Lytechinus pictus: one gene and its partner. The protein of the gene in region 1 purifies or fractionates together with the protein of each later gene. This does not show direct contact. Links are inferred from orthologs where the notes say so. Each region holds a gene or a part of one and is shown on either strand. Other genes may lie near its edges.

Region 1 (17,274 bases):
TCGATGCCAAATTCAGATTTTAAAGGAATAATGACTCAAAAGAACTTAAAACGTAAACAGGTAACTTCGCCCAAGTTGAAACTTTTGGGAGTATAGAAATTTTCTCAACAGCGAATCAAAATCAAGGATTCCATGGAAGTAACCCTTATATGGTAAAGTTAATAGCGACCTATACGCCTGGGGGGGGGGGGCTGCTTTGTATATTTTGGAAAATGGGTATGTACAGAGGAGTCTCCTGGAGCCAGTCTTACAAAGAGTTACAACTGATCCAATCAATCTGAACTCTATGGAAATCCATCAGTGTCATAGATTTTTCTACAGGAAATTTGCACAAAGTTGCTTGAATTTTTAAGAAAACAATTAATGCATGAATATGCATCATAGCTAGAAAATATTTTGAACTACATGCATAATAGATATTGACGTTGCTGGCCGTCCATAGTTGTGATTGATCGGATCAATCACAACTCTTTGTAAGACGGGGCCGTTTTTACACTCAATTTTCCATACCAGGGCATACCATTTGCAATCCATGGGCGGGTGTCAAAGAAAACCTGTTCTGAGGCATTGGAGATTTCCTTCCGCCACGCTCCACACAGAGAGGAATCCCCATACCATTGCAGTAGACGGAATCCCTAGCCTGTGGATTGGATGATCGCGCAACCCTCTTCCCTCATGCCCTTTGCTGTGTGTGCGAAAAACACACCGTCCATCAGCTGAGCTCCGTGGAGCACTAATGCTCTAGCTCTGTCTGTAAAGCTGCCAGTGTGTAGAGTTTTGGCACATGTTTGAATGGTATGGGCACTTTGGTACCCAAGTCAAACAAAATCTTGTGGTGTTCATCAAAATTTAGTTCCTGGAAACTGTAACTTTTCATGTTTATTAGATCCAGGTCATAATATCAACTTTAAATTTATTTCCAGGGACTGTCTTTTTGGAACATTTAAGAAGTTCCAGGGATCCCCACTTTCATGATGAGCTGTTCCAAGGCCCCCTAATTTTGACCTACCTACCACATATTGGTGTTAGCCTGACACAACATTAGCTCCTGCGACAATTGCTCTGGGCTTAATTTCGTCTAAGATGTAGGGTTAGGGTTGCAATAGGGTTTTATGATAGGTTAAGGGTAGGGTATAGTCTTAAACTCAGGGTTGAAGTTGGTCATTTGTTTAGTATTTTAAACTTAGAGCGGGGCAATTGTCACTGGAGCAAATGTTGTGGAGCCGGTTTGAGTGGCAGTGGCACATACCTACCACATATTGGGTCGAGTGCCCCCCCCCCCCCCGGGCCTTTACGCAATGGGGGCCCTAGTATACTAACTTCACAAACCTTTCACCGAGACCAAGAATGACTAACCTTTAAATTAGTGACCTGGTATTTTCTTTCTTGGTCCCATTCAGGAGGGGCTTCCTTCGATGAAAACATCACCTCTAGGTGGTCTATAAACCTAACAAGAGAAGAAAAGAAAAACAGAAAAAATCCTAAATTTATTTGTTATTGCTGTATAACAAGTAACCAGCCAAGGGTACATGCAGATAGAGAGGATGTGGAGGGGAAGACAAGTGATACGAAAAAAAAATAGAAAGAGGAAGAGGTGAAAAAAAATAGATGAAGAGTGAAGAGAAATACTGTAATGGAAAGAAATGAAAGTTAGACAGAAAACAAAGAGAGGGACAGACAGAGAGAGAGAGGGAGATAGATAGAAAAAGAGAAGAAGAAGAAATAACAGTAAAAATTATGTACAGCAATATAAGCAACAAACGCCATGTTTAAAATTCTTTTCATTTATTCATTCAAATGTATATATAGGATAATAATACCAGAAGATACTATTTTTTTGTTTCCATCTCGGTCCTGTACAATGTGTGCATGAGTGTGCATTAACGGGGAAGTCAACCTTGAAGAAAAATCTATTGTAAAAATAGTCGGAAAAAATAATGCAAAATATTGGTGAAGGTTTGGGGAAAATCCATCATAGATTTTTAAAATTTGGAATTTCAATGTTTTGATTTGTGACATGATATGCAAGCAACTTCCACATATATTGTGCCGTAAAAATCAATGAAATGTAATTTTTACATTAAAAATAAAAATGGTTTAATTGTAACTTCAGTATATCAACAGACAAATCATATCACATCCACTTCTGAGAGTAACAAATATTTACATGCAGTCATCATGAACCATTAAAAAATTGAGATTTATGCATTTTATATTACATAACATATGGGGCAGCTACTCTCATGACGTTACAAATCAAAAACTTAAAATTCTAATTATCTTCTTAATCTTTGATGGATTATCCTCATATTTTTACCAATTTTTTTTTCTGGTATTTTTTACAACAAACCGTTCGTCAGGGTGAACTTCCCGTTTAGGTATGAAAAGATATGTAAATAGACTGATAGGAACAAAGATGACTAATCAGCAAAAAAAAACATAATGGAAAAAAAGGAAAGAAAAAACATATACCAGATAAGAATCAGGGGGGAGAAGGAAAGAGAAAATATGAAGAAAGAAAAGTAACACCAAAATTTTGACATTTGTTACTACGAAAGTTCAAAACTCGAACCTTGTATCTTCATTGAATGCTGAGATGAGGTCGCTGTGGCCATGCTCTGGATACAGAAACCTAACGGGCCATTGAAGCACGCCCTCATCGTCCAGGCTGACCATATGACGCCCGGAGGGTTCGTTGGATACCAGCGAGGTTACAAACGCCTTGGCTTGTTCTTCAGGCTCCCCGTCTTGCCCCTCGACGGGGTCACTCACAAAGCGAAGATTCCGGACCTTTGAAAGAAAGATGGATAATGTTTAAAATGTCAGTTCCTACGGGAAAATAAGTGAATTATAATCAACTGCACCAAACATGAATACCCAATTCTATTTCTAGTGAAATCAAAGCCTCGTCTTACCAAGTGTTGTGATTGATCCGATCAACCACAACTATGGACGGCAAACAACGTCTAAATCTAAAATGCAAATTTGTTCAAAATATTTTCTAGATATGTTTATTCAGACATTCATCATTCTCTTTAATATTCAGTGTGATTCTCTTTGTTTACTAGGGAGATTGTGCTCATTTCCTGTAGAAAAAATTATGGTATGGATGGATTTCCATATACATTGTAGTTGAGATTGATTAGATCAATCATAACTCTTCATTGCTTCAAGATTCATTGCTTCTACATAATACAAGGCAAAAGGAAGATGAGAATCTGTATGTACCAAAGGTTAGGACAAGCTTGGGAAAGGAGTGTTTATCTTATGTAGGCACAACTTCTTGGAATGAGCTACCAATCGAAATCAGAAAGAAACCATCAAGGTCAAGTATTTGTAAAGCTGTTGTTGAACATCTGTTGGAAAAATGAATTTTTGTTATCATCTATACGGTATTTTTGTTATCATCTATATACCTTTCATATGTATATACGGTTAGTGTTTCTTAAAATTGTTATGTAGGCATTGTTTATATAATATAGAGTATATTTAGTAGACTCACGATTGTTCATTCTTAACTAACAAGTTAAGAAACATGTTTCTATCTGCCTAAAGTAGAAGGGGCCAGGCTTGACTAGCATTCATGCTATTTTCTGGTTCCTATTATCCTTGCTTTTCTACGTATTCATAACTTGTAAATTGTTATTATCATTGCATTGGATAATAAATAAATTCATTCATTCATTCAGTTTTAGGTCCTTGGTCAGAAAGTACTGTACAGTATGCTATCACTCTACAATCAAGGGGAGTAAATTCACTAAACTGCCATCTGTACCAATGTCTATTAAGAAACTTATGCACAAAATTTAAGAATCAGTGACATATATTCTGCCAAGTTCCATAATAACTTGCCAACCATTCGGTGATCATTTTTTTAATGAATAGTTTTTAATCGAGTGCAGGAGAAAAAAATAAGGGAATCTGAGAAATAGGACATTTTATGAAAATGAAAGGCAGTTATGATCTTACTTTCAAAGCTGCGATGAGTTTCTCTTCCGCAGCCCTCTGCTTCTTCTCCTCTAGCTGTTTCTTTCTCTTCTCTTTGTCTGCTGATTTCTGTTAAAAGAATAAATGAAGAGAAACTCATTTTGTCATGATACCAAAAATGAAAGGGGAAATCAGCAAATCAATTACAAAATGACATTGAATCAACACTTGAGCCCTATGCCCTAAATAACTTTGGCAGGAGTCTTTGGAAAGTATGTGTCATTCTACAATTAAATGGTAGCCAATGAGTTAAATGTGCATCATAGAAAAAGAAATTATTCTTCATTCTTAGAGAAGGCTGGTTGTAACTTAACAAGTCTTTTTTTTTTTGCTTGTCAAATTTTTTACCTGTGTCCATCCCAAAATTTCAGATGGACCCCCCTTCAATTTTTGGCTTCCGCCGCCAATGCCTATCACTATAGAGTACCGAAGCGATGACGTCAGTTGCCATGGTTTTTCTTAACAAATAAACCCGCCGAATGAAAGCATGTGTTTCTCATAGGCGAAAATGGCTGCTATCTGAATTTGATTGCTTGCAACATATTTGTCAGACGACCATCAGCTACGACTGTTTAGAACCAGCAACTGACGTCACACTTTGGTACTCTATGGTAGTTGCCATCCTGTCAAAGTTGAAGTAGTTGTAATTCTCTATTACCTTGAGTTTTGATGCTTGTATCCTAAGATCCTGAATTTTCTTATCACTGGAATAGATGTATTCATTTGGTTAAGGATCACCTGACATATCACTCTGGACCATTTTGTGGTTCATTAAATTCTGATGTACAGATGCACATACCAGAAAAAAATATGTCCCCTATTGGACATCCCACTTAATCAATCACATTAGAAAAAAAGTGATTCAAATTGCAGGATGTTTCATGGGAAAAAAAGTTATTTTTTATATGATTATCTGAAAAAAAAATATTTTTGTCACTTTGTATGAAAAACATAATTATTCTCAATACTTTGTCATCAATGACTGATGGGTTATGAATACAGTATAATCAGAAAAATAAATGTTATACCTTGATATTAATAAGATGAAAAAGAGAGATTCTTTACACTTTATGATACAATAATCATACCAAGTACCGAGTCATGATACAGTGTCATCAGAAATATAATATTCATACCTATGATTACTTCAATGATTCACTGACAACTAAAACAGTCATATCTTCAATAACACAAGCTACTAAAGCTGGGTATACTATTTTAATAATAATAATATGCGACATTTATATAGTGCTTAATACAAATGACATTTGTCTCTAAGCGCTGCATACTATTATCTCGGCTTTAGCACGGCTATCCTGATCGGACGCTTGAGCATTCAAGGAATTCCTTCCTACAGGGTACCCATTTAACAAAATGTTGAAAAGGATATTTGAAGAGCCTTGTCGCACCATTGGATGGCTTCTCCGTATTCTTTGAGTTGCATACAGCAGTCAATGGTCCTGTTGAGGGCCTTTAAATGGTCAGGTTTAAGATTCAATGCCTCTTTGGCATCATTTAATGAAGACCTGTGATTACCTGTGGAAAAAAGTCACATTTAAGTACATACCCATCAAAATTATTTGCATAAAGGAAAAGTATAAAACTGAACTACAGCTTTAACAGTCCATGGTCTAACACTGTACTATATAAACTTGAAAATTTGTTAACATTGTATGTTTCTTAAGTTTTCTGTGTTCTATCTTCATGCTTTAATGTGGAGAAAATTACTTTAGTTATTAATTCCGACAGTTATGAATGATTCATGGGTCAAAAGAGCTGATACTTTGGATCTGTACTGTTTAATAGAGATCTATGTCACAATTGGTTATCCATAGTTAAACCAAAAGTTTACGCCAGATTTTAAATTTAAACATATAGGAATACGGGACAAGATGTTTATTTTTATGATTTCTGCATGGTACTTCTTTACACTCTCACTTATGCAGTATTTTGGTGAATGTATTTGATATGCGTGACTTAAAACAGACATATTATTTACCATACCTACTACCAGAAATATATTTGATAGATTAATTTGTCTTGTAATTATCTAGCAATAATCATCTTTTCAGTAACTTAACTATATACCCAGCCTTCCAAAAATGATCAAGTTTTAATTAGAGTTATATAATTTTTTTATAAGATTTTTTTGTTCTGTAGTATTTGTGTTAATGTTTGGAGGATTTTCACTTCTCAGTTGAACTCTGATTACCCAGCACTTGTGTTCAAATCACATATGATGAATAAGTTATTAGGTTTTGAAGGAAATTGTGAAGTCTAATAATTTAGTACTAAATTATCTTGTGTTTTACACTTTATCTACATACTCTGTATTCACTTAACTTCTCTTCCTTTTTCACTTCTTTGTTTACTTATCATTTTTGTCTCTCTATTACTGTTTGCAATGAGAGGTAAGCCTCTTTTATTGCACTATACTTTGTTTTCTCTCAACTCCCCTTTACTTTTGAGGCCTTCATCTATTTCAAGCTCTTGTCCTTAAGTAGATGGTCACCCAAATCACTATCACTTGACTTCCCTTTTTTTTGTTTATTATTATCCATAAGAAAAATAATCCCATAAATGAACAAATGTCTACAATTTGAATATTCATTTTTGTGATTCATCTGCTTTTTGTTAATTTCATTCAGTGGTATTTCAACTACTGTTATGTATTGATAAATTATTGTTGCTGTGTTATATGACATGTGGAAATACAAGTTGAAAAGAGGACTGATTTTTGGTGGCATAATATAGAATTAAAATTTGATTATAAGGTTCCTCCCCCAGACTGCGCCAATTCTTCAGACGTCTCTGTTTATCACCAGGAGCTGGACATAGAGGAACAGAAGATCCTGCGACCAGAACTGAACCTTACATGTATGTATAATAAAGCAAAATATCTACCAAGATGATAATGAGCTGCAGCACGGTTTGTGTAGAGGACAGCGTTGATTTCTTTATCAGCACATTTCTGATCGAGACCTTCGGTGTAGGCAGTAACGGCTGGTTTGTACATCTTCTTCTTAAACCACTGATTACCGTCATTCTTGTGAGTCAACGCATTATCTAGAGATAAGTTAGAAGAGTGAAAAGATTGTGGAATAGTACTGGGTGATATTTTGATAGTATCAAAATTGTGCAATTTTGAAGACAAAAAATTGAATATTTGATTATGGTATTATGATGATGCTGATATATCAACACAAAATGACCAAAATATTGTTGATTATGAAAAGTATTACAATTTATCGACCACAAATGCTGCTTTGTTTCAGCTATTTTTCACTGCTTTTAACCAACTCAGAACTTCATAAATTTGCCCCCTAAGGCCTGGAAAACTAAACAAAAGAGCCCCTGAAATAGGGTCCAATGTATGCTGTAATAATATGCAGCATTTTAGCTGTTCAGCTAAAAAAAAAAAGATGATTTTTTTTTCTTAGAATGCAATCACAGATAATTTTTGTGCAGCATCAACACTTCTTCTACATAGCTAATAGTATAAAAGGAAAAAGAGAAGCAGGACACAAGGGGAGCATTTCATGAAGAGTTTTGTCAGTGGTTTTCATGAACAAGCTTGCTCTCAGCCAATCAGATGCAAGGATTTCAGTAGCTTATAACAGTTACCAGTGATAATCAAAGTTTCTCACCTTCCTTTGTACTCTCCTCGGAGGCATACTTGATTTGCTGGAAAGCTTGAAGCTCGGGAAAATCTTCAATATTCTCTGGAGCTTCTTTCATGAAAAGTGGAATCTTATCAAATTCCTGCAATGAACAGAACAAAAAATAAACTTGGCTATCTGAGATGTATTGAGGACTGGGGGGTGATCTCGGCCGCTGTTCATGCGATTATGTCGAAATTTGACACACACATTCTTTACCACATAAACTACAAGCCAGTATAAAAAGACATTCCAAAACTAATTTTTAAAATTTATTATGAATAAAATGTGCAAATTTATTCATGAAAAACAAACCAAACAACAGAAAAATCACGGAGTACGACATGTGTTTTTTTTTCCTGAAAAAAAGAGAACGTGATAAAGTGGTTGTTCTGTGCCCTGATTTACTGGAAAATTATCCTGTCTACGTTCTTTCAGTGATTTGGGTAAGATATTTTCATAAAAAGTAGTGCGGTTGTAGGTAGACTCTATTGGGAAATGTATACATGTACAGCAAAGTGAGTTTGCGTAGGAATTTTGATTTTAGATTGAAATCTCATTTCCCCACGTACTAGATTGAAAACAAATATCAGCAAGCATGCGTCCGGATAAAAGAAAGATCCGGATAAGGGGAGAATGGATAAGAGAGGTCGGACTGTAATGGATTGGAAGAGTGCACAGTTTGGGGGATTTACCAAAACTAAAGACAGGCTTTTTAAATTGCATCCTGCCACCAAAATGAAATTTCCAGCACAATGAATAAAGATTATTTACAATTTGGAGAGTTGAGCTGGCTTTTAGCCTCCTTTCATGTTCTACAACGACTGATCCTACTTTTCATTTTGTTCAGATAATAAATTGAATCTTCAGAACAGAATTTACAAATTTCCACATTGTCAAGTTTACCACATGTGGTATTACCCAAGGATCACACAAACCAAGTGTGGACATAATTGATGCAGAAAAAAAGAAATGAGAGCAGGTTAAACAAAAACTTGGCCTTTTGACCTATAGATGACCTTTGACCCCATTCATCCTCATAGGCACACATGTGGTATTACCCAAGGATAAAAAAATCGAACATGTAACCACCACAACACCACAAAAGACCCTGATAAGCAAAAAAAAAAAAAAAAAGGTTATCACCCATCACCCAATAAAGTAAGGTCTTAATTCTCATCTAAAATACAAAATACATGTTTTATTTCAATTTCTTTCTTTCTGTCATAAAAGACCGAAAATAGTAGGGGGACATTTGATATTGTGTCCACCCTACTATTTTGGGTAGGGGGGCCACGTCCCCCCTGGGACTTCCGCCCATGAGCTAAATAGTGCTTAAAGGGATGCTCCAGGCCGAAGATATTTATATCTAAATAAATAGAGTAAAATTCACAGAGCAATAGGCTGAAAATTTGATCAAAATTAGATTACAAATAAAGAAGTTATTGAATTTTAAATATTTGCATTATTCCGGTTAAACAGTTCTGGGCATGTCTTCATGATTATTCATTAGGTGGGCTGATGATGTCACATCCCCACTTGTTCTTTTGTATTTTATTATATGAAATTAAGTTTAAGTTAAAAAATTTCATTCCAAGAACCAAACCTATTGGATTGACAAGTGATTAAGTGCATTAGTTATTTATTGCTGCAACGTATTTCATTATAATGGAGACACATCATTTACACATGTACGAAACAAAAAACATTTAAGATTTCATGAAATAACATAAGAAAAAGGAATGTGGGGATGTGACATCATCAGCTTGCGTTTTGCATATGAAGAACCACGTATAATTGTTTCACCAAAATAAAGTAAAGCTATAGAGTGACTTGTTCGATATTGATGTATTTTTAAGTGATTTATATAAAATAAGAAAGTTATGACATTTAAAGATACGCTTATTTTCAACAATTGGAAATTTTGAAATATGACATGCTTGCACAACACATGTAATTTGATTTAATATATGTTAATCAAACTAAAATGTCACTTCAGAATTCCTTCAGTTCATTGATAAAGAACCACCTGTAATGCCTTTGAGACTATAGGGCTACCATGTAAGATTAATACCCCAAATTTTTTAAAGGAGGGATTAAGATTTAGGTACTATATAGTGAATAGTGATTAAGTAATCTATTGAAGTTCATGACCGGCATGAACGTGAGACCGGCGTGAGACTCATTCTTGCTTTCGGTAGAATACAATGCACACGTGTCTTTATGTACTGGACTGTTATGTTTTAAGAGTTTAAAAAGCTTGTGGTCTTAATTAGCGTCATTAGTTGATAAACGTTACAAAGCTCGTGGACATCTCTTGACTTGGTCAGTTTTATTGATTAGGCCTATATAGTTTTTCACCCTCAATTTCGTTAGCTTTTGGAACTTAAAGTGTACTTTGTAGGAACAATGGCCGGACTGGCAGCAGAACTTAGTTTTGAAGAAGATTATGATGACTTCATTATGCAATTACTAGGAGAGGACATTCCTTCACCTGTAACCAATGGAATAGACAGGCCAAAGGAGATGAATGGTGATAATACATATACTCCGGATCCGGGAGCTACAGAAGACATCCCCATGTACATGATGGACAAGAACAACAATGTTGGAGAAAAGATGAGTACAGACGATCTGTACGAGGACATTTCTTCGGAGAAAGACGATGCATGAACTTCGGAGGCAAATGACGAAAATGGGAATGAAGTCAAGTTGAACACTCTAGTGCTACCTCTTATTCAGGAACTGAGTTCGTCGCCGTCCCGGCTGAGAGAAGTTGTTGGATCGCTTGTTTCGTACATGTCGTATCAAGATGGACGTATAAGAAAGTTGGAGGAGGACATGGAGAAGATGAAAAAATTTAACTCGTTGGCAAGTTTGTAGAGGAGGAGTATGATGGACTATTGGGACTTTAATTGTATATTTCCTGTATGTGAAGATTTCTTTTGTCATGGTAGAATTTAGTTTCATTATATTTTGTTATGTAGTACTTTTTATTTTTGTTTGATGTTATTATGTACACTTTGCATCTGTATGCCATTTTATAGTACTTTTTTTCTACATTAGATATATATTTTTGTAAGTGTTAATTGATACGTAAATGTATACATTTTATAGATATTTTGACATCCATTTACATGTATTTCCTGTATGTGGAGATTTCTTTTGTCATGTTAGAATTTATTTCCATTCTTTTTGTTATATAGTACTTTTTATTTTTTGATTGATGTCATACATGTACATTTTGCATCTGTATGCCATTTTACAGTACTTTTTTTTTAAATATATTCTTTTTTAGTGCAAATTGATACGTATATCTATATATTTCTATTGATATTTTGATTATGTTATGTATGTCTTCATTTGTATTTGATAGATATGTTTTATATTTTAGTGTTAGACGTCTTTTTGCATCTGTTTGCGATTTTACAGTTAGTTTGTTTCTTAAGTATATATTTTTTTGTTCAAGTTTAAATTGATACTACATCTATATATTTTCATAGATATTTCTTTTTTTATTTGCGTTATTTATGTTTTCATTTGTATTAGATAGATATGTTTTATATTTTAGTGTTAGACGTATATGTAGAATAAAGTTAGAAGATTCGTTATAAATATTTTGTAAGTACTTTATAAAGATCTTGTTATCATTTTTTTTTACAATGATTCATGTTACAGTCATGTATTGTAGAATCATAATGTATATTATGTCTTTAATTGTTTGCAAATGTAGTGTATAAGAATTATCGCAATAAATTGTTTAATGTATTTTGTTTATGAAAGATATTTATATTTTGTTTATTTGTTATGTTTTGAATATATTTAAGAGATAGGATGTCAAGAGATTGAAAAAACAGAGGAGTAGAAGAAGAAGGGATAATTAGGTATAAATGATGAAAGAAAAAGAAAAGAGAGAGAGAGGGACAGAGAATGTGTGAGCAAAGAAAGAAAAGAAAAACGTAGAAAGTGATCATTGAATTAGACAACTAAATATAATTGTATAGAAGGAAAGTAAAAGAGTGAGGTACATGTACAATGGAAGGGAAAACGGAATGACAAACAGTTTAAGGTAAATAAAAACTTTAAAACGAAAATGAGTAATTAAAGCGCGAGAGAGAGAGGTAGAAAAGACAAATATTAAAATTTTCATTTCTTTGTTATTGTCTTTTGTCTCTTTTTCTCTCTATATCTGTTTCATTCTTTATATGCGTTTACTAGGGTGAAAGAAATATAAATGAAGAGGGAACAAAAGAAATGAGAAGGTGACATTAAGTATAAGAACAAACAAAGAATGTATTTGGAAATGAGAGGAAAAAGGAAAAAAATAGCAACCAAAAATTTTGAGCCCCCTACCCAAGTTAATGTCATATTGTCCCCCTCTCCTGTGAATCCTGAGATTGGCGCCGCCATGTTTAAGGTCATTTTGTCCCCCACTCCTTAAAGGACAATTTGCCTTCCCCCCAAAGTTTAAGGTCAGTTTGGCGCCTCCCGTTACAGGTGAATTTGGTGCCCCTCCTTTCTGGAAAATTTGGTACCCCCATATTTATCGTCAGTTTGGTGGCCCCTTTAAGTTTAAGGTGAATTTGTCGCACTCCCTAGGATGAACATCAACTTGGTGACCTCTTGCGTTTAAGGTGTTTGGCGCCCCCTCCTTACACAACAATTTGCCGCCCCCAGTCAATTATTAACTCGGTGCCCCACCCCCTAAGTTTAAGTTACTTTGACGCCCCTTAAGTTTAAGGTCTGGTTTGCGCCTCCTAGTTCGAACATCAATTTGGCGCCAGTTTGGCGCCCCCCGTAACAGGCCAATTAGGTGCCCCTCCTTCCAGGACAATTTGGCGCCCCCTTTATGTCAAACATCTATTTGGCGCCCCCTAAGAGTTTAAGGTCAATTTGGGTCCCCCTGGGTAGAAGATAAACCTGGTGCCCCCATGTTTAAGGTCACTTTGATACCCCCTCCTTATAGGACAATTTGACGCCCCCTTGGTCAAACATCAATTTGGCGCCCCCTCCAAGTTTAAGGTCAGTCTGGAGCTCCCTTATTACAGACCTGTCAATTTGGCGCCCTCTTGTTTATGGTCAATTTGGTGCCTTTCTTTCATGACATTATGGTGCCCCCGTCCCCAGGTCGAACATCAATTTGGCGCCCCGTCTCTTTCTTTTATTTCCCCTTTTTCCTTTCTTTTTCTCTTTTCCTCTTCTCCTTTTTTTCTTTTTCCTATTCCCTTTTTTTCTCTCTTTTCCCCCCTTTTTTTTTCTCTTTCTCTTTCTCTTCTTGTTTCCTCCTTTTTACTAATCTTTTCTTTCCTCTCTCTCCTTCCCCTTTTGGCGTCCCCTTTTTGCCTACCCGGGGGCAAGGGCCACAAAATCCCCCCCCCCCCCCAGAATACGTGCATGATACTTAGAATACCGGTACATAATTTTTAATTCAAAACTCGTATACATTATTGGTTGATATATCACTCTAAACCTTGCAATTGCTTTTTTTTTGTATTTCTTCTTTATGAACTTAGGAGACAGAATAGTGACATAGACAGAGGAAAAGCTTGAAATTTTTAGGGAAGAGATACAGAAAGAGACAGAGAAAAGGAGGAAATAAAGAGAGGTCCTAAGAAAGGGAATGAAAGAAGATAGATAAAAAAAGGAAGAAATAAAAAGAGAAAAGAAAGAAATAAGAAAAGAATGAAAAAAATAAAGAAAGAAAGAAAGACAGAAAAAAGATAGAAAGAAAGAAAGAAAAAAGAAAGAAAGTAAGAAAGAAAGAAATAACGAAAGAAAGAAACAAAACAAAAAGAAAGAAAGGAAAAAAACGTGAAAGGAAATCGTAGTAAAATAACATAAAAGATACAGTTTGTCACTGTTAAATCTTTTTTTATAAATGTTCTTACAATCAATTCTTACTTTTCATTTTAAACCCCTTTCAAGATTTATTTTCAATGTGATAGCTTGAAACCATTGCTTTTATGTGCAGCGTATATTATAATGAAATAATATGAAACAATCGTAATTGAGAAGGCCTCTACAATTAAGTTCATTTGCAAATATTTATTTTAATTTTTATATGTTGCACACTTCATGGTTACAAGCAGTCGCATCAAACTTTGTGAAAGAAGTTTGGCCACTTAGTTATACATTCTCACTGGTTTTTTTTTGTCTCATTTTTCCCCTTTCATTCTCTCGCTCTCTCTCTGTCTGTGTTTCTCTCTGTTTTTATACTCTTTCTTTTTCTCCATGTATTCTTTATCTGTTAGTGTAAGTCTATGACAATTTAAGAAATTAAATGAAGTAATGTATTAAGTCAGTAAGGAAATAAATAAATAAAGAAAGAAATAACGAGAGAAAAAAAGAAGGAAGAAAAAACGTAAAAGAAAAACGCAATAAAATTTTTTTTTAAATGCATTTATGTCACTATTAATCTTTTTAGATAAATGTTCTTTACAATCAATTCTCACTTTCAGATTAAACGTCTTCCACATTTTATTTTCAATATGATAGCTTAAAACCGTTGCTTTTATGTGCAGCGTTTATTATGATGAAATAATATGAAGCGATCGTAAAAGCTACGAGGGTGCGAAGCGAACAAGCAAAAATTAAGACCTTTTTAATACAAATTCTAATTTGTATTTCCAAAAACTGGCCAAAATATTCAATTATCATGTCAATTTTTGTAATATTATAACTTCAGTCTTTAGTTGAAAATTAAGAATAGAACGAGTCATATTAGAGAATACTTATTCGTATTTATAATCAGAACGAGACATTCACATAACAACCCACTAATTAAAATCAAATCCAATTTATGCTTCATGTCATTACTCATTATACATTGTCCAGCACTGTGTGCGCCTCATATGCGACTGCCTGAGATACTCTCAGGGAGTGGAGGATTTGCATACGTTGTCTGCGGAAATGATTGCTTAAATCCGATGACCGAATCTGTAAGCGTTTACATACATGTAAGTACAATTGGTTTTTTAGCGCTTTATAAATAATGAGATAATTGCAACAAGACATGAAAATGAAATTAATTTGTTTAAAAAAGGATTGTGATATAGGCCCTATGATGTGTCGCGTTGCAATCACAAACAGGAGGGAGTGAAATTAATTTGTCGAATTGTAACCATGTAAAATATGTCTCTATGCGACATGTTTTGAAATTGATTGGTCATTTTAATATAACCAAAACATCTCGGTGTGGTATATCGTTCTTATTATCCCCTTACTTAACTATTTTGTTTGTTCTCTGTTTCTCTTGTCTTATTGCATATCACTGAGTTGTACATGATTGTAATTGTTTTGCGAAATATAAGCAAAAAACTTCAAAATGTCATAACTTTATTATTACACATCCATTTCTTGATAAAATTGGCTTGTTTCTTATTTCTCTAATGATTCAAATCAATGATTTTCTGGGTAGACTTGACCTTTAAGCTGCATATTTGTACATGTTATTATACTAGCCTTCTTTTGACTGAAAAATCTATAATAATCCAAATAGTTTATTTGGATTTTGTTGACTGAAATCAACTTAATTAAATAAAATCAATCCTAAAAGGGATTAAGATTAATTGGTCAAATTGTAATCATATGGGCTTAGGGAAGTGATATATGTCTCGTTACAATTATAAAGAGAGCAGCCAACTTTAACTATCTACTGATTAAAGTACCGGTAGCCTTTTCTATCTCTTTCTCTCAAGAAAAATACAGATTAAAAATGATGTCAATGATAATAACTGAAAATAAGGTAATTAGGGTGTGTGATGCTTCGTTCTAAAAGTACAGTTAGTATCATGCACTTTTTCATGTGTTTTCCATGTTCCAGAGTATCAAAAACTCCTTGATGTTCTTATCCAAGTATCTATGTATCCAAGTTTTCCTGTAGGCATAAGCCCGTAGCCGCGCATCAGTATCCATGTATCCAAGTATCCAATAGTATCTAAGATCCCCGTTTCCACGCATCCAAGTATCCATGTATCCAAGGTATCCAAGTATCCACGTATCCAAGTATCCAATAGTATCCAAGTATCCACGTATCCGCGTATCCATGTATCCGCGTATCCAAGTATCCAATAGTATCCATGTATCCACGTATCCGCGTATCCACGCATCCAAGTATCCATGTATCCAAGGTATCTAAGTATCCACGTATCCAATAGTATCCAAGTATCCACGTATCCATGTATCCGCGTATCCAAGTATCCAATAGTATCCAAGTATCCGCGTATCCATGTATCCACGTATCCGCGTATCCATGTATCCAAGTATCCAAGTATCCAAGTATCCAATAGTATCCAAGTATCCATGTATCCACGTATCCGCGTATCCACGCATCCAAGTATCCATGTATCCAATAATCCAAGGTATCTAAGTATCCACGTATCCAAGTATCCAATAGTATCCGCGTATCCATGTATCCAAGTATCCAAGTTTCCAATAGTATCCAAGTATCCAAGTATCCACGTATCCGCGTATCCATGTATCTAAGTATCCACGTATCCAATAGTATCCGAGTATCCCCGTATCCATGTTTCCAAGTATCCATATCCAAACATGTATGTAATATAATAGTATCCAAGTATCTTTGTATACATGTATCCATGTATACATATCAACGACTATCATTCCTTAAATAACATATAAACATTATCAACATAATTATATACCAATGCACATATCCTCGATCACGCGCCCCCTCTTTGATTCCTTCATATATCTTTCCTTTAAAACTCCTCTGATTATCATATCACCTGACATTACTTCACCCCTCCTACTACATCAATCATATTGGACAAGTCGTGTACCCCCCTACGGGACCATCCCCCTCCCCCTTCCATCCTTTATCCATTTCCTGATCGATCTCCTGCTTGACGCCGGGGCCTCTTCATTAGCTCACGAACGTAGAGGGCGACAAAACTGCTATCACCAAGCCTCTGGCTATCGCACACCGGCAGCAGCGATTAGGAGGTAAATTGGTCTCATAATCGATTATAACATGACATTGGATTCTAATCACCCACGGCTACATCTCAGCCGCCGACTAAAGAATAATTGAAGGCACGGCGCATTCAACAAATAACGTTAATTTACGAAAAATTAATACGAGGACTTACAGAATGAAGTCCTCCTACGAAACTTACGAAACGATGTGAAGTCAATTCCTCATAATTTGATGAATATCCCTCAAAATGCGTCATTTAAGCGTTGATTTTTCTTCTCGTTCACAAAATACAAGAGCTACCTTTCTAGCTCTCAAATTTTTCGTCTAATGAGCGAAAGAGGGCGCGCGATTTATCTTCATATCAAAGACACTACAATTGAAAGAATAGACACAGAAATTATCTTACACGTAAATCGATGCAAAGCGTTACGCGAAGTCGGCAAAGTGTTCAATCTTTTTACTGTAAAGACTTTGGTGGAACGTTAATTGACAAACGAACGGTAGCACTTGCGGGGCTTTGTTCAAGGTACATAGAATTTTCTATATTTTTTGTTTAATTTGTCATTGTTTTGAATATTTTCCAAAAAGTATTATCGTCAGCAAAAATAATAAAAAAGTATGTTTTTAAAGTTATTGCATTTATTGGGGTCTCTATTTTATCAAACAATTATTGGAATTGCGCATACAATG
Region 2 (16,851 bases), on another chromosome or scaffold:
CAGCATGCGTTCCATTCTATATTATAGGTCTACTAATCACCTGTGTGGGACGACAATGGTAATGACAATATCTTATTTGACTTTTTAGTATTGTCCTATATCTTCAGTTAGATAGAGATAGATAGATAGATAAATTTAGTCATTTATTTATTCATTTTCATTTCCAGGTACACATTAACAATAATCAATTTAGTACATTGAAAATAATCATCATACAATATCTATAATACAATATACAAGTGAAAAAAATGAAAGAACACCAGCTAATGCCTGGGGATTATCAAAAGAAATCAAGTTTCTGTTAAAGACTCTCCTCATTAGATAAATAAATGAATAGAATGTAAAAAAAACTAATAAGCATGTTGTTAAGCCCTCACTCTAAATACAAGTTGCTTAAACTTATTTTTATTATTGTTTAAACTTTTTAAACATAGATAGATAGATAGATGGATGGATGGATGGATAGATAGATGGATGGGTGGATGGATAGATAGATAGATAGATAAATAGAATGTAAAAAAAACTAATAAGCATGCTGTTAAGCCCTAACTCTAAATACAAGTTGCTTGAACTTTTTTTTTAATTGTTTAAACCTTATAAACATAGATAGAGATAGATAGACAGATATATAGATCGATAGATAGATAGTTGGATGGATGGATAGATAGATAGATAGATAGACAGGCAGATAGATAGATAGAATGAAAGATATATAGATAGATAGAATGTAAAAAAAACTAATAAGCATGCTGTTAAGCCCTCACTCTAAATATAAGTTGCTTAAACTTTTTTTTATTATTGTTTCAACCTTATAAACATAGATAGTTAGATAGATAGATAGATGGATGGATGGATGGATAGATAGATAGAAAGATATATAGAGATCGATAGATAGATAGATGGATGGATGGATAGATAGAAAGATAGATAAATAGATAGAAAGAAAGATAGATAGAATGTTAAAAAAAAACTATTAAGCATGCTATTAAGCCCTCACTCTAAATACAAGTTGCTTGAACTTTTTTATTATTGTTTAAACCTTATAAACATAGCTAGTTAGATAGACAGATAGAAAGATCGATAGTTGGACTCCGTGGATGGATAGATAGATAGAAAGGTAGATAGAAAGACAGATAGATGGATAGATAGAGGGATTGGTGGATAGATAGGAGGATGGATGTATGGATTACTGGATGGATAAAGTTATAGATAAACCTTTCTTTTATAGATAAATAAAAAAGCTACATGTATATCCAACAAACCAATGTTATCAAAAGGAGTGTGGTTGTCGAATCTATATGAAAAGTATAGTATATTGTTGCTAATCAACTCTCTTAAAGAAACACCGCAAATTCACGAACTAAAAACGTAAAATTTAGGCATGTTGTTTAATTTTGTTTTAATTGTGGAGAAAGGCAGACTAACTAGATGTATAGATAAATCGATGAATACGGATAGAGGAAAACTAATAATAGATGAATTAAATAATCTCATTTTTATTTACGAATTTAAGCAAACACATAAATCAAATGAATAAGTTTATATATTCATAATAATGAATGACATGAATGAGTCAATGGACGAGTGAATCAAGGGGCGTTAGTCGAGAACTGATCAAATTTAATACAGTGTGTGAGAGCTGAGGGAACACATCTTTAAATCGGCTGGATAATAGCTGCATGTTTATTACGATCGATGTGTATATAATGTTACCATGCATGCATTCTTCTTTATTTCTTTAATTAGTTCTGCGAACCATGGACCTATATGTGCGAACTAACTTCTCCAATTTAGCGGTCGGATGAGGGTCATGCCAAATATGGGTCTTATGAGGGCGCAAACCTATTAGGAGCTTTGCTCCAGATGAAGGAAATAATGACATATGTACCCTCTCATTCTGTCTCTCACCCCCTCTCCCTCTGTCACCCCTTCTCCCTCTCTCTTCATTCTATCATCTTCTAATTTGTTTTCTTTTCACCTGTAAACACACAATCATACATAATTATTAAGGTGTCATGACGTTTTTTCGTAACACGTTCCCACAAGTTACTTTCTCGTTCCCCCGACTAAAATTGGGAACAAGTGAGGTTATCGGCCCAAGTTGAGGTAACGAGTCAATGAAAAAACGCCAAGTCAAGTTAGGGGCTCTAAACATTCAACCATGTTCCTTGACAACAATCCAAACATTCATACAAGCTATATCTTTCTTTTAATTTAAAAAAAAAAAAAATTGCCACTTTCTGCTTTATTTTCTTCTCTATTTTCTGGTCATACCAATTTTACCATTTCATTTCCAAATAAATTTAATAGATATAGGTAGAAGATATTCCTCAAATTGAGCTAATAGGCAATGGTATATAAGAAGTATTATTATAACATGGGAAACAATAATCATATGACAGCATTTCCGTAATTTTATTACATAATTTGTATTTCTTTTAAATAAAAGAGAGATTACAGCATACAATTATTGCTAGAAGATTATTTGATCTAGCTCAAATGGATTTGAACAATTCATAAGTGTAAACATAGGATTTGTAATCTGAACAATCACATTGATACAATAACATAATTTTGAATAACATACATTATTCTGAATAAAGGTTGTGAGACAGATATGTTAAAATATGAAGATATCTAGAAATGAACAGAATTCAGACATGTCAGCTACTGATTTCAGAAAAACAACTTTGCTACAAGGAGTGTACCAAGGACGTTGCTACCAGGAGGGGACAGTGGGTAGAACCCCCCCCCCCCCCCCATGATTTTTTAAGTCATGAAGAAAAAAAAAGGGAGGGAAATTTGATTAAAAATTGGGTAGAAAGGAAAGAAGAGAGTACAAACAAGAGAGGACTTGGCCATGCAACTGAGAAACATTGCATTATTCAAGAGGGAAAAATTACATCAACTTAAGGTAATCTTCGATCTTAGATCATGATCTGAACATTCAGTATCCCATAAACATAAGAATTTGAGAATGTATTCATTCTATGTGTAGCATCCATACAGTGAACATGCTGAAATCAAGTTGTTTATAGCAGTAATTTAGAAAACAGAATTACATTAATGATGATTTAGTGAAAATCCACTGAGGAAAGTTATGAGCTTTTGAATTATAATTTCATTAGCAGTTCTTTGCTATGATATTGATTCCATAAAATCCTTAAAAAAGAAATTATATACTTGTGCATTCAATATCATCATACATTATATCACATGTGCTTCAATGAGATGAATATTCTGTTATCAATCATTAAAAAATGTAAATATATGGAATGTATACATGAATATGGGGCACCTGCCTTCAAGTGACCTCACAAAATCTAAAATCTAAAAACTTTATTTAAGTATGATGGATTCTCTTGAAACCTTTGTTAATATGTTTCTCTTTATTTTTTTTTTTCATTCATTAAAAAAGCTTTTTGTTCTGGTGAACTTCCCCTTCATCAAATTATAATCCCTGGGGGCCATTTCATAAAGCTGTTCGTAAGTTAAGAGCAACTTTAAGAACAACTGGTGAACCCTTCTTACACGCTAAACCATCATCAATTCAATATACCATTTACCACAAGAAAGGATCACCAGTCGTTCTTAAAGTCGCTCTTAACTTACGAACAGCTTTATGAAACACCCACCTGGCATCTTATTAACAAATTCATTCCTTTCATAATCCTCATTTGCTTAGATCTTTAATCCTTTATCAAAAGACACATCTGAACATATGACACAGACTATAAATAATTAAAAACTAATGCCACCCTAAGTTAAAAAATCAAATGTTAATCTTTCTGCTGGTCCTCGACCTCCTTCTTTTGATCTAGTTTTACTTTGATCTCCTCCGGTATCTCCACATCCCTAAGATTCTCCATTCCTGGTAGCGGTTCATCCATGATGAGGACATCAATCACCTGATGACACAGACTCTCAACTTTCTCATCCTTCTCCCACTGATGATACTCCCTCAGGATCACATATGTCCTTTTTTCCTTCACGATCCGCCGACCCTCCTTTGAGGCACAGAGCTGAAAGAAATGACGACAAACTTTTAATAATGAATTTTGTGTTAACCAAGACTTGATGTATTTTCATTCTACATGAAAGGAGATGAAAAATATCCATAGACTTAAATCATATACTGTACTGCGGAATAAACTGCCTAATAATCTGAGGGCCATCACATGTACTTCCACCTTTCTCAAATCTTTAAAAACGGACTTGTTCTCACGTTAGATTATTTTGTTTAGGAAAGGTATGTTACAATGTTTTGTTAATCTTTCATTTAGTATTTATGTATTTTATTTCAAGTATACCTGTATTAGACTTACTTACCTCTTTTGTAAAGCGCACAGAGATTCTGTCGAATATTATGCGCTATATAAGCATCTATTATTATAATTATTTATTTGAACAACTAATTTCTGAAGTAACCCGTTACATATAATGTGTAACTCAAAATTGAAAATATCAAATATGAACTTGTATTTCTCACTGAAATTGTATACTCTATTGAAGACATTCAAGAGTCATCACTGGACTATCTAGTTTCATCAGGAAGAATAATAAACAAATTATCAATTACTATGATATTCTATATATAAAATCATATATTTCATGCATTTAATGACTATGGAAGCTGTATCCATCCATCATTAGATAGGTACTATTGGCGGGCCTAATCTTTTTTCCATCATTAGAATTATCGACTTATTTTAAGGAAAAGGGGTCATTTTTTCAGTAATAGTCTACATACATTCTTAACAATTTTTATAGCAAGGGGTTACAGTTTTCTTTCAATTTCAACACTATCTGAATATTTTTAGCACAAAAAAGAAGAAATCTAGAAGTTCAAAAAAAGAAAAATGAAAAATACTAACTTGATAAATTGCTTCCAAGAGCATAGCACGAATATCAGGATCATCCTCCCTCTTCTTTGTCTCCTCAAGATACTGAAGATCATCTGGTAATCCTTCCATATCCTCCTCACTCAGCTCTTCAGGACCAGCTAATGGTAGCAAGAGATGGGGCAAGATATCCACATCATCTCCTAACAACCATTCATGAGATGCTAAGTAATAGTTGAAGGGATAAAAAATGGTTTGAAAACAGATTAATTCAGAAAATATACTTGGCTCATATATCAAATGGAAATGCTGGCAAATGTAAGGATAAGGATTAAAAAATTATTATAAATGTATGTACACAATATTTATATATTTACAATTATACAAAAACATATGAATAAGTATCTATTTGTGCATCCATGTCTATAAAATTCTCTCTCAGAAAGAAGAATTTGTGAATTTATCCAAGAATGTAATACTTGATTTTTCACTTCATTATCGATACAAAAAATAGAAAATAACAGATCATTGTACTTCTATAACGTTCTAAGAGAAAGCGTTAAGTGACAAGTGTCATCACCTAAAATAATATGCATACATGGAAAACTTATATGAGCCTAAAACCTAAATTTTGCCATTTAGAATCACGATAGAGGTCATTTCAAACTTCCACTTCATAGATGAACAAAGACGTGACTAAATGCGAATAACATGACTGCTGACAAGGACAAGTAATAAATAAACTTTTCTGAAGATTTTTTTCCCCCTTAATTCCAATCATTACCAGTTTCAAAACAGCAGTTCCTCAATGCTGTTGCTACTCCTCTTCTCCTGGCCATTGATAATTTATACTGAGTAAATGGAAGTAACCTCTGTACAATGCATCGCTCTCTGTTTAAGATATATTCTCTTGCTTCGGTAAGCTGAGTTAGGTTGGCTAATAAAGGTCCAACATAGTCAAGACTCGAGTTCTTCTTATTGTAACCTTCTTTACAAAACGCTTCCACAAGTTTGTTCATTCCAACAGCAGAACTTTCATCATCATCATGTTGAAGAATTTTTAAGACCCGTTCTGCTCCAGCTCTGTTTCGAGTTAAGTTGCTAAGAATCATGCAAGCTTGCTTGGCAAAAGGACTCGAAGGATTGATGATCGTCTGCAGCAAATGGGATATGTACGACAGATCAAGGGCAAGTTTTTCTGCAAAGCTATCTTCCGATGACAAATTGACCACAATATGATAAGCCTGCTCTTGGTGGGATTCGTGCACAGCATCCGAACAGATAAGCTCCCCCACAGTTTCGGCTACGGGCAAGAGCTGTGTCCCGATGGTGAGTCGCCCCTCTTTGCTTGCAGTCGTACCAGTCACATGCGCGAGTGCCGTGTCCCTGACATCGGGTCTAGTTGTCACTGATAGGAACTGAATCAGTTCTTCAATAACTGAGGCATCTGCCATCATCAATATGAAGGGGAAATATCATAAATATGAGAGAGAAATTCATTAGAAGCTGAAACTAGTTATTCCATGTAAAGCAGCGCAGCAGAGCAGAACTCGCCTATAGCTAAATAGGCTTCTCTCGCGCTCGCAGGAGTTTTATTTTGTTGACCTTTTTCAGCACGTAGATATGTAGGCTTATGTCACTAAAAACGACTGGTGGGAAATAGTCTACTCATTAAAAAGCATTCCACTTCCGGTAGCGTGACAACCTAGACAGAGACGGAAAATCTTCCATTTAATTTGATTTTATTGGTAAATTGTTTGATTGAGCAGATTCTGAAATCATTTTCTGCACCGGATTGAAATAATGCCATCGTTTAATCATGGTTTTAGAGCCGCGAAGCTCTTAATTGGAGTTTCAAGTGGGGTTGCGTTTGGAGCAGCTGCAATGAAATATTCCCAGCGAGAGCGAGATGGATTCCTCCCCACAGCTCTGGCGGCGTGGACTACCAATCACAACCCAAGTGTCAGATGGGATTCCAACTGGGACAAGTTAGTTTTGTGTTCTATTCTGAATTTTTGTGGGGAGCTTAACCGAATATAAAGTTCATTTACAAGTTCCTTCTCCTTACTCTAGAATCCAGAGGTAGAATATTCATGAATAAATTTCAAATTAAGTTAAATTTGAAAAATCATTTCTCTGAGACTTGAGTGATACTATTACTAATACTAACTAGCAAAACGTTTATTCTAAACTTAGTTAATTATAAAGTTTGAGAAATTGAGGAGGAGTTATTGAAAGAAACTGAGAAATAAAGCAGTGGCAAAAATAGTCATTTCTGACTGGTTACCAGCCAAACCAAACAAACTAGGAAGAGAAGAAGGGTTAGAAGGGCTTTGTGTCTATCAACCAAAATTTTACTGTTAATAATAATATCTAGAAAAAAAGAGAAACTATGATTTTATTGATCTTGTTTTCTAATGAAAAGGAAAGGTTTGTGCCCTATTTTGTACTTTCCACTAATGGAAGGCCCTTCCAAAATATGCTCAAAATTGTAGTTTTCAAGCTCCCTTGTGCAATATTTCTCAAGTCTCAAGATTACATGTATATTGAAAAGCGGATCACAAACAAATGGAGTTCATAATCATAGAATCGATAGTGAACACACAAAAAATAAGAGTGTTTTGTATGTTGCATAGACTAAATGCAGACAGGGTGGTTGCAGACTTCAAATGTGTTGGGCTAGAGGCATTCTGCTCTGCAAGAAAAATGTGTTCTGAAAATCCTTCACAAAGACAAACTTAAATTACATTATATGAAGTTTAACTTTGATATTTAAAGCTTGGAAGTTCAATTGTAAATGACCATTATACCTGATGATTTCTTTGAATTGTCAGTTGGCCTTGTCCCAGCCCCTGATTATGCGGGGATGGCCAGGACTGATATTCACTTATTAAGCTAGACTTTGCATGCATGCTTTTTATCTGGATTCTGAGTATGGCGATTTTTATTTGTAGGGTGATTGCAAGTGCAGGCTCTCGGGGCTTTTCATCTGCATCAATTGACTGGGCTCTGTTGTTCAGTTGACTGGGACTATTATGATCTTCACCAAATTTCTGACTTTGCCAGGAACATGCCTAAAAAATAAATATTTTTTGTGCACAAGTTAATTCCAAGGCAGGCCCTTTACTTAACTTTATAAACCAATTCTGTATTGCTAGACCCTATGATGTTTCTGAATCATTGAATAGGCAATTTCAATATTGTCATTTCATTCACTGTAAATGTAGAAAAGGGCTTTGCTAACTTTTCCTGATACCTTATTGTTTTTCCAAGCAAAAACTACAATGATTAATTTCAAGAATATCCTTATTGTCAGGAGAGACCCACAAAGCTTGATAGATCCATCCAGAACTGAGGTTGACTCTAAGGATCCAACAGCCAGCCTCTCTGGAGCAAAACCAACAGCAACCAGGCATCTGATCCTCATCAGACACGGACAGTACAACACTGATGGGATCACTGATGATGTCAGGATACTCACTGCACTGGGTAGGTACTTCCTGCTTCCTAGAATTATTCTGCTCGAGTTAGAAGTACAAAGTGGAATATGACAACAAGGCGTCACATTTTTTTATTTCATTTGAAAAATATAAAAGCAAGACTCTGATCCTGCACTGCCTCAAGTACCTTTATTTTTTATTTATTTACTTTATTATTAATTTGTTTGTTTATTTTTTATGATTAAGAATAATAATACACTAAGGCAGAGTGGATTTGGCACATTACAAACCCCATCTATTATTATTTATTACTGTACATTCATTCAACCAAAGATTAATGTAACAGATTGATAAAGATTAAGTGTCAATGATCCTTATTTCTTGAATTTCAATAATTGTTACACTGAAAGTCTAAACCTTTGAAAGTTTGCACAATGACAAGTGCGTTCTAAATTTGCAGGATTAGGATTTTAGTAATGGTATATCAACTTTTTGCAATAAATATTTAAACGTTATGAAATATTTTAGGACGGGAGCAAGCCGAAATGACAGGAAAACGACTGAAGGCTCTGAACCATCCCTATACCACCATCATCAACTCTACCATGGCCAGAGCTATAGAGACGGCAAACATTGTCTGTCAACAACTACCAGATGTACCTCGTGAATCATGTGAGCTCCTGAGAGAGGGTGCACCAATACCCCCTGAACCACCAGTGGGTCATTGGAAACCGGAAGTCAAGGTGAGATCATTATTGTGTTGATAAATCATTTTGTCTTTTATATGTATTTTATGTAATTATTAGTTTTAGTTTTTTTTCCCGTTAGATAACATCAATGAGCATTTGATGTTTCAGATGCTATACTGAATAGAATGAAGATAGGAATGAGAACCTCTTTAGAAAAAAGTGTTTTATTGTAATGAATGAAATATACCATTAGGTATTTTGAATTAATGAAATACAGGTAAGTTTGCCTATCATTAAAGTTGAATCGCTTAGGATGAAAGAAATTTGTATGACTCGGGCAATGATTTTGTGAGGTAATTGCTTTGCACAATCTAGCTTTAAGTGACTCATGCAGACTTAAATGGACGGCTATATACATATACTTGCATGAAAAATAACATGAACTGATGGCATCACCCGCTTACTACATGTAGGCCTATAGGCCTATCTTTTGTGATTTATGATATGAAACATGAAATACTTTAGTTTTCTCCTCATGATCATGAGAAGCAAAGTTATATTTCAACATCTACATGTGGAATCAGTATTGTTGTAACCTATTGTCTCTTTATTGTCAAATCTTAAAAAAAAGTGAAAAATTGTATAATTCCAATACAATATGAAATAAAAAATGGCATCATTAACTCTTTCATTGCATATCATTGTGTTGTGCATATAATTGTTTTGTGAAAAATAAACAGAATTTTAGGATATCATAACTTTTGTATTTTACATTTGATTTCGATGAAATTTCCACTGTCATGCTTGTTTTGATTTTCTCTCCTTATTTCATTTTTTTTTTGGGAGGGGGTGGACTTGCCCTTTGATAACTGGATGCCTGTTCTTTTTAATGGAAGTTAGTTGCTAGAGGCATTATTTTCCTATTGATTATGTTTTTTCCTAGTAGAGATCTTCATCACAGAAAACTTGACTGTTGTTCATTACTCTAATTTCTGTGCTAAAACATGTTATATTTCTGTATCTGGTTTGTTGTTCATGTTTTGGCTTTCCTGTTTGCGCCTTAGTCTTATAGATTTAGAGAGCTCTAGAGAGAGAGAGTGTGTGTGTGTGTGTGTGTGTGAGAGAGAGAGAGAGGGAGAGAGAAGGAGATAAATCAAGAAAGAGAGGGAGATAGGGACGGGGAGGGATAGAATGAGCAAGGAAGTGGGAGAGAGAGTTGAAATTTGGGGAGAAAGGAATAAATGAGATTGTCTGTACTTCTGTAAACTGCAATGTGTTCTTTTTGTTGCTAACACTTTCTATCTGTCTTATCTGTTTCCTTTAACATTCCCTTGCCTCTTGCTGACAACCTTGTCTTGGCATTCTCTAGCAGTTCTATGAGGATGGAGCTCGGATCGAGGCTGCATTCAGGAAATACTTCCACCGAGCTGACCCTGAACAGACGAAGGATAGCTTTGAGGTCATTGTATGCCATGCCAACGTCATTAGATACTTTGTATGCAGGTAACTGGTCTGTTATGATCCTATTTTTGACATGTCAAGCCCAACACACACTCAACGACCTGGGGACCCGTTTCATAAAGCTGTTTGTAAGTTAAGAATACTGGTGATTCTTTCTTGTGGTAAGTGATACTCACCATTGAATGTCCATTGGTGATTACAGTATTTAGCGCATAAGAAAGGTTTACCAGTTATTCTTAAAGTCGATTACTCTTAACTTACAAACAGCTTTATGAATGACCCACCTGTTTGTTATTACGTTTTAACAAAATTGTTATAATTATGTTTATTTACACTCCAACTTAAAAATTCTTAAAGATCAAAGTTTCGAATAGTGGAATGCATGATTAAAGATAAATGCCAGTTGTGGTAATGATCTCAAAATGAGCTTGTACAGAATCCAATTAAATGACCACCAAAGTGTCTGTATAAATAAAAAACATGTGCCAAATGATTCTTGAAGAAATTGTGTAATTGCTGAGAAATTAGCAAATAAGCACGGGATTCGGGCCAAGCGTCGGGCCGACATTCTAAGCAGTAATAATACGCTGTCCCATGTGCGCTTATCTGTGTTGGTGACCTTCAGTGTGGACATTTTTCAGCGGAGATTTCAAGATTTCACAAAGTTCAGTTTATGTAACTGTCCCAGATCGAGATCCTCGATGATATAGTGACAATTAAGCCTGGTTTTACAGACTTTCTCGTGAAATCAGTGTTTACTGCAACTACTTTCATTTATCTTTAGTCAATATTCCAGTCTTATTATAAACCTCCCTGTATGAATGTACATGCAAAATCAATTCCTAATCAAAGTGACGGCATAGAAATCTTGCCATCAGCTATGATTTTAAGCTGATTTGGATTTTACCACAAGGCTTGCAGTAAAGCAGAATTTTATATTAGTATTCATGGCATTCCTTCGAACTTCAAATAAACTTGTCTTACTTTTTTAAAGTTTATAATTGTTAAAGAACTTGGTCGCTTTCTGATAGTACAGAGCGCAACGAGTATGCTTCTATGTTGCCCTATATTTACATGATATAAGTGTTTAATGAATTCCATTATTTTGATGTTTTTGTAGTCTTGAATTTTACCTTTGAATAAATTGTGTTAACCCAATGAAAAGCTTAAATACATAAAGATGTGTGAGAGTCTTAATTGCAATTACAAATGTAATCCTTTTTAATACTATATGGTAAGACAATAACCTTTCAATTGAATATAATTTGATTACTTGCATGCCTGTTAACAATATTTCAGGAATTAGATTTTAGATAAGTTCACTCTGTTTTGAGATCATCTTGCAAGATAAATTAATCTTTAAATATCGTGGATGGCTTGAACAAAATAAATCATGTTAACATTTCAGTATGAAATGCATTGTACTTGATTATTCAGGCTCTTCATTATGTTAATTTAATGACTGTTTCCATAGTATTTTGTTAAAGCAAACTATAGACGATTGATTAACAAAGTAATTGAGCTATTTTTCCCCTTTTCTTTCACACATTGCAGAGCGATGCAGTTTCCGCCCGAGGCTTGGCTTCGTATGAGTTTGTATCATGGTAGTATAACATGGCTTTCACTGCGTCCCAGTGGGCGTGTCTCACTTAGAACGTTAGGTGATGTAGGTTTCATGCCAGCTAATAAGGTGTCTGTTGCATAACTATCATCCTTGCCAGGCCAACCAGTCTTTCAGGAAGATATCTAGTTTTTAAAGCTCTATCCCAGTTTGGTTGGATCTAACAATGTGAGGTACTGTACTGTAAATGCAAAGCCACCGTGTTTTTTCTTGTGATGAATATGAAACAATGAAATTCAACATACATTCAATATTTTGTCCTTGTTTGGGGGGAAAAAACATATTTCTTGGGCCCCTAACACACAGGTTAGTAATTGATTGTACTTAAGTCATGACAATCAGTCTTACGATCATTCATGAAGCCTTGTGTTGCTGACTTCTGCTGGTTCTGAATTGAACTACCTTTAAAGCCAAGTCATTGAGTTGATTTGAACAAAATAGAGAAAAATCAGTTACGAATATTTTGCAATTTGTTACATTGTACATGTGCTTCTTTTCAAAGCAGAAATAGTTATAATTTGATATTCATTGAATTGCCAATGTGTTGATAAGCTTTATTTGAACTGCTCCTAAATTTGAAACATCACTCTGCATTAAAGGAGAATGAAACCCTTGAAACCAGCTGAATCCATATCAAAGAGAAAAATCAAAGAAACATATTGTTGAAAGTTTGAGGAAGATTGAATGAATAATAAGAAAGTTATGAGCATTTGAATGTCGAGATCACTAATGCCATGTAGATCCTCCCATTGGCAATGCGACCAAGATCTGTGATGTCACACACGTACAACTCCCTCATTACTTTAGTACTTATTTCACTTATATTCTCACTTTTATAGAGTCTATCACAAGGTGAGGTGTTCTCTTTATGAGAGGACAAGTACAGAGGTTTCACAACATTATATCATTGATGAATCGTTTGTCATATGATTAGAATGAGCAAAAAGATATGTTTTGGGGTATATTTTCAGTGTCCAAAAGGGGAGAGTTGTTCATCTGTGACATCATAGATCTTGGTCGCATTGCCAATGGGAGGATCTCCATAACATTAGTGATCTCGACATTCAAATGCTCATAACTCTTCTATTGCTAGTCCTATTTCACTCAGACTTTTGTTGATCTTATTCTTTGATTTTTCTGCTTTCACAAAAGCTAACTTGCTCCAAGAGTTTCATTCTCCTTTAAAAACGGCTTCCATTCCTCGCAATCCGGATTAATGCTTTGTAAAGGAGATGCTGCGGCTGTATTCATGAGATAAACCCTTGTCGATTATGGAATGACTGTTCCTAATTTTCACCAACTCATTCTCCCTAGGTAGATCATTTAATCCTGTAATGTAAAAAGTGGGGGGAAATGATTTACAAAAATATGAGGAGAAAGAGTATTGGTATTAAATGAATGATAATTTTGGTACAACATAATTGCAAAAAGGGAGATGAAATCAGAAATCTAGCTTTCTATGAATGTAGTCTGAAATTCTTGCTTAGTTTGGATTTAAACTTGAGTTGATTTTTGAGAGTCATGAGTCATGGAGTAAAGCAAAATATATTGAAAGCCAAAACTGTCAATGGAGATTAGATTTAATTTTACTTGCAAAGAGAATGCTCATTTAGATGTTATTTGTTTCCTACTTATTTTTCATTTTTCTTGTATCTTATGTGTACAAGCACTTCATGCAATTTCGTACTGTTGTAGCATTTACTTATTTTTTATATTTTAATATAATAAACAATTTTTTCATCAAGACTATGCTGACTTAAATGCTATTTTTCCTATTGGTCTAGTAGGAATACAGTTGTGAATGTGTTTCAAAGAATATTCAGTAAGTTTCCGAAATACCAAATGTGTTTCCCTGATTTATTGCATATTAAAATAATGATCAGAAATGTTGAATCAAGAAACCTTTTTTTTCTTTTTTTTCTGAGAGGAAAAAATGCATATATTGATAGTGATGTTAATAAATGAAATGTACAAGATAATTAACTGTTTACCCTTGATAGGAATAAAATTTTTAATATTGTGTCATTTCTGTGTGTGTTTGTTAGAATGTGAACTAGAAAAGCATTGTTTCCATTGTATTCAGAAATTGATGATAATATTAATGCAACTAGAGTGTCCGTACCTACTCTGCAAACTTACCTTTATAATTTCCGTGTACTGTATGTGTCTAATAATGCATATGTTTACTTCAAAATAGAATTTAGTAGTGATGGAAATATTACTGGAGAACATTTATGTTGAATTACCATGATATGTATAATGTAGAGTTGATTTATTTGTATATGGTTCTGTTTAAATGGATTGCTAATAAGTGGTATATTTGTAAACATTCAAAGCATTATATTTTTTTTTCATAAAAGTAATGTGAACTAGAGATACTTTATTTTAAAAGGTTAGCCTGCGGGAATTTATAATAGTGGGGCCCATTTGATGGACTGACAAATGAAATGACCACCAATGTTTTACATATTTTTAAATATTGTGCATAGTCCCAGGCCCGCTTCATAAAACTTGTTACAATAACAAATTTGCAACAACAGTTTAAAGCTACTGAAATCATTCTATTAGATTGGTTTATAGTAAACTTGTTACAGAAATTGTACATTAGGTATTATAACAACTCTTTATGAAATAGAATACAGGAAAAACTGTTCATTTAATGTTAGATATATTGATATTATGAATGCGTGCCAAACTGTATTTTGTACCATTATAGATTTTTATAAATAAATCATTAATATCTGTTTTAAGTGCATAAACCTGGGGCTGTTTTTATAAGCTGTTTGTACCCTGAGTTATGCATGACTTCACGCATGACAAGTGACGTTCTTGTGCAAATATTTCAGATTTTGATATAATTGGAGCGAACTTTCAATAATTATCTTGAAATCTTGACAAATTTTAAAACTTTGCATTCAAATGCTTGTTAGTGGAAGCATTGTGGTCTGGTGGTTATGACTCTTGTCTTTCTATCTGAGGGACGTGGGTTTGATCCCAGCCATGGCTTGTTTTCCTTCAGCAAGAAATTTACCCACGTTGTGCTACACTTAACCCAGGTGAGGTGAATGGGTACCCGGTAAGAAGAAATTTTCTTGAATAGTTAAGCACCTACATGTATATGGGCAGCACAGCTTAGGCCGTGGTTATCGCAGCGCTTTATAAATCCAGTTATTGTTATTCTTATTTTCATTAACAAGAAGAATATCATAAAAAGATTGGATTTTATATTATTGAAAATGTGATTTAGTATAAGATAGGGTCATGGATATAGTTGTAATTCAGAACACCTGTTATTCATTATTATTCAACTTGCCAGATACGCTGTTCCTTTAGTCATTTACAGAAATGCATGTTTTGTATTAATACTGTACAATGTACATTCAGAGTGTGCATATCATTTTGGCAGAATAAGATTTGTCCTTAATTATACGGGTTTATCTGTAAATATTGACCTCATACAAAAAATAATTGACAAATTTTAATATGCTTTATTCTCCATCATGAAGTGCAGTTAAGTAAGGTAATTTCCACTAGAGAGTATATTTAAGATTATGAGACTGATAATAAATAAAACCCAAGAAGAATTAACTATTGAAAATGTAGTTTTGTCTCAATAATTGGATGTTATTTTGCAGTTCAGTATATACAAATAGGAGTGGGCTATACATGGGTAAAAAATACTTTTTTTGGAATTTCAATATGACAACAGTTTTTTTTTATTCCTTGTAATGTATCTCAACATGAAATGACAATATTTTTTGTCTCGGGTCCAAGAAAAAAGTGTGCCGGGCCAAAATCCAAAATGGCCGCCAAAACCCCCCAAAATCACAGTTTTGGCCACAACATTTTTATTTGGTGGTCAATTTCTCTGGTTTTGGTGTCTATTCATATGTTTTGGGGGGCAGGCAATTTGTTTTTCCTATGATTAGTACTTTTAAACCATTATTTCTAGTTAAAAGGTAATTATACCTAAATTTTCCCATTTTTGTAGCCTTTTTTCAGCCAAAAAGTAGGTTTTATCATCCTGGGGTTCTGGGATATTAGATGGTACGAGGTCAACAATAGCAAGCAGCTTCATATAGCTATATTGCTTTTATTCCTCCACTTTGGGTTTTACGGATATTTGTGAAATATATATTATTAAATAAAAAAATGTCAATTATCCATTGGGGCTATACAGTATACATATGTACAATGTACTGTACATTCATACTGCACTGCATAAATGCATTGGCCACCATGACAGATAACAAGGCTTGTATAAACTATAGTGTCATAGAAATGAGCTCTCAGGTTTAGAATTAGATGCCTCAGAAATTGAAGATATGTTTTGTCTCAGAAATTGAGGACATGTTTTGTCAAATATGCTAATTCAGGGGGCGGGGAGAAGTAATTTACACTGTAGCTATTCTGGGCCCGTTGCATATAAATTTACCATTATGTTAACTTAACTTAATGGTAACTTGCATGCAATCCTTTATTCTGATTGGCTGTTGATCAGCGTTACCATGATACTAGTAGTTACCTGACCCCATAAACATAGGCCAGTTAGACACCAGAACCAGGTTTTAAAAAAGCCTCCAAATGAAGAAGATATGGCTAAAAATGTGATGTACGTATATATACATGTGATATTTACATGTAAGTGTAATTTACGTTGCTGGTTTCACCATGTACATCAGCTGACAAGGAATCAAATGCACAATCTAATTCTAAACCTTTGAAGCTCAGTTCTATGACACTCTAGTTTATATACAGGCCTTGTCATATGCCATGGTGGTCAATGCATGGATATATGC

The links.
Region 2: the proteins of tetratricopeptide repeat protein 4-like (region 1) and protein HGH1 homolog purify together in Homo sapiens (co-immunoprecipitation; 4 studies listed by BioGRID and IntAct, counting the BioPlex papers as one, with this or other methods). This does not show direct contact. The link is inferred for Lytechinus pictus from reciprocal best matches to the Homo sapiens genes TTC4 and HGH1.

What each region holds. Positions count from the first base shown.
Region 1 is NC_087255.1:18,772,978-18,790,251, reverse strand, and holds the start of tetratricopeptide repeat protein 4-like, read right to left. Parts: upstream 7,746-17,274; 5' UTR 7,726-7,745; coding exon 7,635-7,725; intron 7,054-7,634; coding exon 6,892-7,053; intron 5,524-6,891; coding exon 5,378-5,523; intron 4,703-5,377; coding exon 4,646-4,702; intron 4,057-4,645; coding exon 3,970-4,056; intron 2,791-3,969; coding exon 2,573-2,790; intron 1,448-2,572; coding exon 1,357-1,447; intron 1-1,356.
Region 2 is NC_087246.1:20,733,954-20,750,804, reverse strand, and holds protein HGH1 homolog, read right to left. Parts: upstream 6,419-16,851; 5' UTR 6,299-6,418; coding exon 5,626-6,298; intron 5,066-5,625; coding exon 4,875-5,065; intron 4,023-4,874; coding exon 3,780-4,022; 3' UTR 2,223-3,779; downstream 1-2,222. Other genes in the region: serine/threonine-protein phosphatase PGAM5, mitochondrial-like, read left to right, coding at 6,645-6,829, 8,158-8,330, 8,810-9,024, 10,340-10,473, 11,986-12,136.